Oryzias latipes: one gene and its partner. The protein of the gene in region 2 purifies or fractionates together with the protein of the main gene of each other region. This does not show direct contact. Links are inferred from orthologs where the notes say so. Each region holds a gene or a part of one and is shown on either strand. Other genes may lie near its edges. The genes, in order: S-adenosylhomocysteine hydrolase-like protein 1 and pip4k2a.

Evidence for each region.
Region 1: the proteins of pip4k2a (region 2) and S-adenosylhomocysteine hydrolase-like protein 1 purify together in Homo sapiens (co-immunoprecipitation; 3 studies listed by BioGRID and IntAct, counting the BioPlex papers as one, with this or other methods). This does not show direct contact. The link is inferred for Oryzias latipes from reciprocal best matches to the Homo sapiens genes PIP4K2A and AHCYL1.

The regions. Positions count from the first base shown.
Region 1 is NC_019863.2:2,336,858-2,340,680, reverse strand, and holds part of S-adenosylhomocysteine hydrolase-like protein 1, read right to left. Parts: intron 1,712-3,823; coding exon 1,648-1,711; intron 223-1,647; coding exon 134-222; intron 1-133. UniProt on the Homo sapiens protein: Multifaceted cellular regulator which coordinates several essential cellular functions including regulation of epithelial HCO3(-) and fluid secretion, mRNA processing and DNA replication.
Region 2 is NC_019878.2:14,730,263-14,734,085, reverse strand, and holds part of pip4k2a (phosphatidylinositol 5-phosphate 4-kinase type-2 alpha), read right to left. Parts: intron 585-3,823; coding exon 468-584; intron 1-467. UniProt on the Homo sapiens protein: Catalyzes the phosphorylation of phosphatidylinositol 5-phosphate (PtdIns5P) on the fourth hydroxyl of the myo-inositol ring, to form phosphatidylinositol 4,5-bisphosphate (PtdIns(4,5)P2). Has both ATP- and GTP-dependent kinase activities.

The DNA of each region.
Region 1 (3,823 bases), on a different chromosome or scaffold from region 2:
GAGGTCAGCCAACAGTCAGGCCTGTCTGACATGAAAATGGATTCAGCTAAAGGTTTTGGCATCAGTAATCCAGCAGACTGTTAGATATTCTGTCTGCTCACGCCACGCTGGCAGAAGTGGTTCTTTCTCCTACCAAGCCTGCAGGGCGCAGATGGGATCGATTTCTGTCACGTAGACTATGGCTCCCAAAGCTTTCAGAGCAGCACAGCAGCCTTTTCCAACCTGCAACACCACAAAAAAAGAGACACCCGTTGCTGCCAAATCTCCATGTAAGTCCGTCACTCAGTGGTGCTCACACTTTTTTGGCATGCGAGCTACTTTTGATACGACAACCTCCAAAAGGTGTAGATCTAGACATACATTTGTTCTTATGCATGTGCACTAAGGTCACCTTAAATTTTACTTGATTGATTGATTAATTGATTGATGGATTTATTTCAAGCATTATAGTCAAAGCAATAAAGAATTTTAACAGATTTATCAAACTCAAATATCAAATGATGAAATGCATAGATAAAGAAAAACAGAAAATAAAACAAACAAAAAACAGTTAAATCACATTTGCTTAATTAAAAACAGGGATCATTAACTAAAGTCAAGTAGAGCTCGATTTATGGCCTGAAAAGAAGTGAGAAGAAGCGAGTTTATATAATCCCCCCCCTACTGAGTTTATTCATGTTATAGTTTTTGTAATCTGGTTCTAACCGTCAACTTTGAGGCCTTCAAAGTGGACAACGTATACAGTACTTTTATTCTAAAATGCATGTTTGTGTAATAATCATTAAAAAAATACAGTAAAAGCACTCTAATCTCTGTGAGATGACAGTGCAGTCTGTGTAGAACAATAATAGTGATTATGCACCAAAGTCACTTTATTCGACTTCAACAACTTCCAATCAATGCATCTCCAGTCAAAAACGCTGTTTATTTACGAACAACACAAAAACTACACAGTAAGAGTTCAGCAATCTTTGTAAAAACATGGCTTTGTCATGTGTATTAATATTATTCTTGTAGTAATATATCATTACAGAAAGCAGGAATGATGGCGTTTCATGCTGTGCTGTAAACCATGTGATGGGGGGGGTGACATTTCTAAAGCGAGGTTAGGCCGACTTAACCCCCGGCGATCAAACAGCAGGCTGGGGGGGGCAGAAGCCCTGCTGCGTGCCGGGAGAAAAAAGAAAGAAAATGCGTGTAGTTAAACACAGCGACGCACTTCTCAGAGGACGTTCGATTGGCCGTTCTGCATGTCAATCAAGTGACATATTTCGCCGAGGAGGATGAGTCGCTGACGGATTTTTAAAAATATATTTATCAATCTTTGATGTCCCGCCAGCTACCGTCTCATCCTTTGATGGATGTAATGAGCACCCCTGCTGTAACTAGTCCCAACATGTCACAGCCCACTGGAATAGCATTTTTACCTATTTCCCTTTTCTATAGTTGTGTAATGAACTCCTGCCGCTCTGCAGAAACCATGTCCTAGAAAACGACCGAGGGTTTTTGATTTTGCCTAAAAACGGCATCATCTTAATTAAAACACCACTTTGAAAATAGATCAAAAGAAGCTAGGAATGGGACTTTAATATGGAAGAAATGATCATGCTTGTGAGAAATGTGGTGATGTTCCAAAAAGGATCTCACCTCTCCGTACCCACAGATCACCACCTGTTTGCCTCCAAACATGACGTCTGTGGTTCTCTTCAGGCTGTGGAGGTTTGACACAGAAGGTTCACCATTTGTGGAAAGTGAAAGCGTGTTCAGAGATGATCAAAGAATAAATAGCAACAGAGAAAACCGGCTTATGATCATTAAAAGTTAGCCCCAAGTTAACCGAATCATGCATAGGTGGTATATCACCCATAATCAAAGCTCAGAAAACAACAACTTCCATCACATCAGTTTGTCGTAGAAACATCATCACCGTTTTACCCCTTGTGCTATTTTAGACGACCCCCCCCTTCCATTGACGTGTTCTCCCTACCATGACAAAGGTGGATAAAGGTGGAAAGATTTCATGTTATCCATGGACACCAGTGAAGATCACAAATCATTGAAGAAAAAAGGTTCAGAGCACTGTCTAGTGGGTCTAGATGACCCCACTCCCAATGTTAAAGTGCCTAGGATAGCACAAGGGCTACTAGATCGCTTCCCTGAGGGCACTTTCACACTCAGCTGGTTGGTCTGGTCCCATTTGTATGCTTCACTGAGCTGGTGTCGTTGCACAGCAACAGCTTGAATACAAGACAGACTACAGACCAAACACCTGAAGTCATCTACAGAGTCACGCCCCCCTCCAAAGTGCGAATCTGAAAAACCACCAGGAAAATGCCTCGGAAAGAAAACGAATGCAGAGTGAGAAAGACGCAGTTTTCTTCTTTGTGCTCTCGGCTCTTCCTGTTTGAAGAGAAGAGATGCAGTATGGGTAAAAACAGACAGGATGTCCTTGGGGGACAGATTACATGAACAGGAGTCGCATTCCTGCTCCCCCCCGCTATGAAATGGTTCGCTCTCGCTGTTTCACACATTTTTTTCAGTGCCATTTTTCTTTTTGAAACAGTACACTGTGTTCTGCGTCTTGATTGGCTCTTTATTCCTTCAATCCGGTCCATGCCATGTCTCCTTTACAGAATGCGTCCAGTTTTCCACGTTTACGTAAGTGGATCAGATCTTTGTCTTCAACACTGGACTTATTTCTCTATGAGGGGTTGAACTTTGAGAGTCGAAACAACAGAGAAAAGTGTGAAAAGGTTCATGTCTGTGTGAGAAAAGGGTGTAGTGAGGAGGTCTACCGCCTTAGAACATCCGGAATCCAACGTCACGGATTTCACCAACTGCTGGGGATTTTTTAGACCGTAACCCCCACCACACACAAGGGAACACTGGATTGTATTGAACTTTCAGGAGCCCGTGCATACATGTCAGAGTCTCAACGTAAACCGGATTGGCTCTTCAGCAAAAATAATGCATAAAAGATGAACAGGAACATTCACATGGAGGCCAATTAAAGGAGAAAACAAAAACATTCCCGCTTGGCTTATGTCACTCAACAGACTCCCTGTCAGAGTCCGAGTCAAGAGGAAATGCTTTGTAAAAAAAAAAAACAACATGACATCCCATAATGAAGAGGAAACTCTGAAACATTTCTTGATTGATTGCTACAACAGAAATGAGGATGAGTCATGTTGGTTTCAATGTTCACAGAGAAACTCTCAGATCTACAGAGTAGGGTTGGGCCATGTCCCTTAAATTGGCAGTCGACGATGTTTGCAGTAAACAATCGGGATGGACAAAGATATCGTCAGGTGGGGGGGAGGGGAGGTATTTTTAATTTTTCGTTATTCTATAATTATTATTCGTTATTTTACTGTATTACAGGGCTCCAGACTGCGACCAATTGGTCGCATTTTGCGACCAAAATTTGAGAGTGTGTGACTGAATTTTACATCCAGTCGCACATGTGCGACCAGTAAATTTGCCTCCCCCACCCTTCGTACTTTTTATACATTAAACGTGGAAGGGGCACGTCAATGATCAATGAAATAATCAATGAGACGCGAGCGCACACGCACGCAGGCAGACACGCACACTCGCGCACATACTCATGAAAACAGGGGGACGTACACTCTCGCGTGATGCCTGTGTGTGAGGCGGCCACTGCGTGTGAGAAGAATAGGGAAAGCCACTGTGAGTGGCTAAAATGCGTGGAGGGGGAGGGGCCTAGAGATAATCGAGCGAGCGTAAACATCTGTGGGAAGGAAACGGAGACAAATATCACAACCTGATATGTGCGTCTGAGCTATGAGCAAGCAAACTATTG
Region 2 (3,823 bases):
CCATACTTCTAAGGACTTAGACAGCTTTTGGTTTTAGTCTTGGTGGGGGATTGCAGTCTGACTGTCAAACGGTGTGGACAGGTGACTTTTAAACAGATGACCTGTTCAAACAGGAACCATTCATACAGGTAACAAGTGGAGGATAGAACTTCTTAAGGAAGTAACAGTTCCGTGAGGGACAGAATTCTTGCTTGTTTAGAAGAGTTAAATACTTGTTTTCTGCACTAATACACAAAAACAGACCTTAAAATTATACAATTTGATCTCCTGTTTTATTTTTTGCCTTCCGTCTCTAACACTTGAAGTGTATCTATGACGAACATCACAGACCTCTCTCATCTTTTTAAATGGAACAACCTGAGGAATGCAAAACAGGCGAACACTTTTCTGTACCACTGTGGATATGTAGTACAATGAAATACGTTTATAATAGATCATGCCTAGTATTTGAGCCCTGGTTCTCTTACATCTCTTACGTGTTTCATGGCACAGTAAAAGCGCGTGGCAATCCGCAGTGTTTGCAGCCTTTGCTGAACATTACCAGATTTGGGCCGAGGGGGCGCATCCTCTGGTTGGGTTGGCTGCTAGAAAAGGGGGGAGTGAGGAAGGGATGTAGGGGTGGAGGAGAGGAGAGGAGAGAAGAAAGAGAAGAATGGAGGAAGCAAGTTGGAGGTAAAGGTTCAAGTTTAACAGAACACAAGTGTTTAAAGGGGTAAAGGACTGGAAAGGGTAAAACGCGGAAGATTTGTAGTCTTCAGTGTGTCTGAGTGCATAAAGAAAGAGAGGGTTCACAAATATATTTATTGTTATAGAAGCACTGGCATACTATATTTGCTGATTTTTGTTAAACTGAGCCCCAATTTACTTAAGAGGAGTTCCTACATTTTTAATGACAACCTTATAACATTCACTCATTCAAGGCTCAAAAACTGTCCCAGATTGAGGAATATGCCTTGTATGATCATATGAATGCTGTGTCATAAAAACCACTCAAAACAGGAAGTAACACACCACCAAAGCAATGATACATGATGTGCCATGCCGCGCCCTTAGCGCAAATGTAATTGAGCTGCACGCATACAAATGTTGTGATTGGTTTCAGACGAGTCCATTTTCTAATAATTATTTCATATGTTTAAAGCAGCAAAGCAACGGTTTCAGATAACATCTGATGAACGTAAATCTAAATTTCAAATGAGACAGTAAAATCATCAATTAAGATTTAATTTGAGCTTCAACTATGAATGTACAGAGCTGTGGTCTTCCTTAGATTGCTCACCAAAGAAATGATTTAAACAGAGCTTATAGACACTAATCGAACGATTTTTCAACCAAGATAATAATAGTTATTTTGAGCTATTTTTATCCCCTTTACAGTTTCCTCCTCTATTTAAAATACTTTTTGGTAAGAAATAATGCTGCCATAGAAGCAAAGTTGAACTAGAGTGTATACAGATTGTTTTGAAAGGGTTTGATGGTGCTATTTGGATAGCAACTGCCACTGAAGGATGCAAGAAGTAAAAGAAATTGCAGCAGGTTTTTCTTGCGCTTTTGCTGCTGGTGGGTTCTGGCAAAAGCAAGCAAAGCAAACAAACAAACAAAAATGACGTTGAAATGAATAAACTTTGTTCTGTGCTTTATCAGATCTGGGGTTAAATCTAGGGATTTCATTCCTACATCAAAGGAGATGAGCTAACAGGTAAACTCACACCTTACTCCAGTCGTATTGCTACATGAAAGCCTTGCGTGCTCAACGCTGAGCTGATAAGAGGACAGAATAAAAACTGGTGCTGAGAGTTTCTGAGAAGAAACAAGTGCTCTTCTATGAACCAAGAAAACACAATCTTTACATTTTCCACATTAAAATTCAGTGGGTTAGAATCCACAACATGTCAACAATATAGCTCCCATCACAGCCAAGAAAGACAACAAACATTAGCTGATGTGACGTGATGAGATTATTAAAGAAACAAATTTAGTTCAAGCCCTCTAATGTTTAAAGCTATAAATCCCAGAACAGATAAAGAAGGTGCAAATGAAAGAGGTTGGTTTTCGTCCACATGTAAAGACATTAGAAAGAATGTAGTTCTTCAAGGGATGCACAATTAATTGCATTCCATGCAGACGCATGCATTAAAAGGAGGCCAGCCATGCAGTAGGATGAAAAACTCGCTTGTGTTGTTTTTGTTTGGAAGCTAACACGAGAGAACAATCCAACCCACTTCTGAAAGTGTAATCGCACACCTTCATCGTCGTAACTAAAGCTTTTCAAGACAGTAATCCTTTAGAAGTGGAAAGGCTGAGACAACTGCTCGATAAACTTCAATTATGATGGTTACTCTTTCTGACAAAAAGCCTTTTCAGAGGAATAAAAATTAGCGACAGTTTGTCACACTTTGTTTAAAAGAGTGCCAAACCTTGAGGTTAAAGAAAAACCTTTTTTCTAAGAAAAACTCTTCTGCTGTTTCTCAATTGCATTTGGAAGAAGCAAGTGTGTTGACAGCTGTGCTGCACACAAAAACCCATCCTAACGGCAGACTCACATGTGTGCTGAATTCCCAGCTGCTCTGGCTTTAATAAAGTTTTGCTTTTTGCTTTATCTGCTGATTTCTAAAATTAGTTCAGGGGGGTTTCCCTGATGTCTTACTGCTTGACGCCTGGCATGTCAGACCGACGCAGCAGACGGCTCTAACAGCCACTACAGGGACAGTCTCACAGAAAAAAAACATTCACCGAGCAACATTTTCCAGACATATAATGAAAATAAATAAATATAATAAACATTATTTCAGAACTTAGAACTGTAATATAACTAAAACCACAAGAGGTTAGGTGAAAAACATTCAATGCTGATACTCAAAGTTGCTTAACTGCCAAAAAAAGAAGAAGCAAAATTGGAAATAATTGCAATAAGGTTAAAATTATTGGTGGAAGAAGCTGTGAAATGACTAACGCCAAAAACCCTCAAAAAGATTTAAAAGTCTCATTTTCATCTCCAACATCAAGAAATGTTTCTTATTTTCAAATATTACACAAACAGACGCGCAAAAACACACACGTAAATACACCATTCAGACTCATAACATCACCAATTATACAAGAAGACGAGTTATCAAAGCCACAACAAACTTAAAACACACACTCAACCCGTCACACACAGCCAGCAAGCAGGGATACTAATGGAACGGCAGAAGCAGGGAAAGAGGGGGACAAAACTAGCGTGCAGTGGTTAGAAAGGGATAGAGGTCACGAGGTGGGTCCTGACTTAAGGGGATGGATCTTTTCATCTGTCATTGTTTCCCAAAAGGAAACAAAGCAAAACCAAACTTTGTGTTGGTCCATTTGGGTCGTGACAGTGAACCTGCTAGAAGCTGTGTCTGTTTTTTTAAATACAGGCCTCTTTCCGTCTAACAGTCCACATGGCTTTGGGATTTTGAGTTTATTCAAAGTTTCTGATTGAATTAGGACATGATGAAACTGGTCTGAAAGACAGACACTTCAATAAATGTAATGGTTTGTTTAATCACACAGAGTGCTGATCAAGCAGATCAGGATTAGAACTCTTTTAATACCACACACTGACTGAAATCAAAGAAGTTACCTGAAAGGTATAAAAACACCAGAAATAAAGCACAGGGATTTGATCAAAACTATTTCAGCACACTGGCACTGAAAGGGAAATGAGCAGCTATAGAATCAAAGAGAGATTTTTACCAGAAGTTTCCTACTTTATGTTGTTACTTTTTAAGAATGCACAGATTAGTCAGTGAAGACGCTTAAATATGTGTAAATATGTACAGCAGCTGACTGCGGCTCGCAGTGG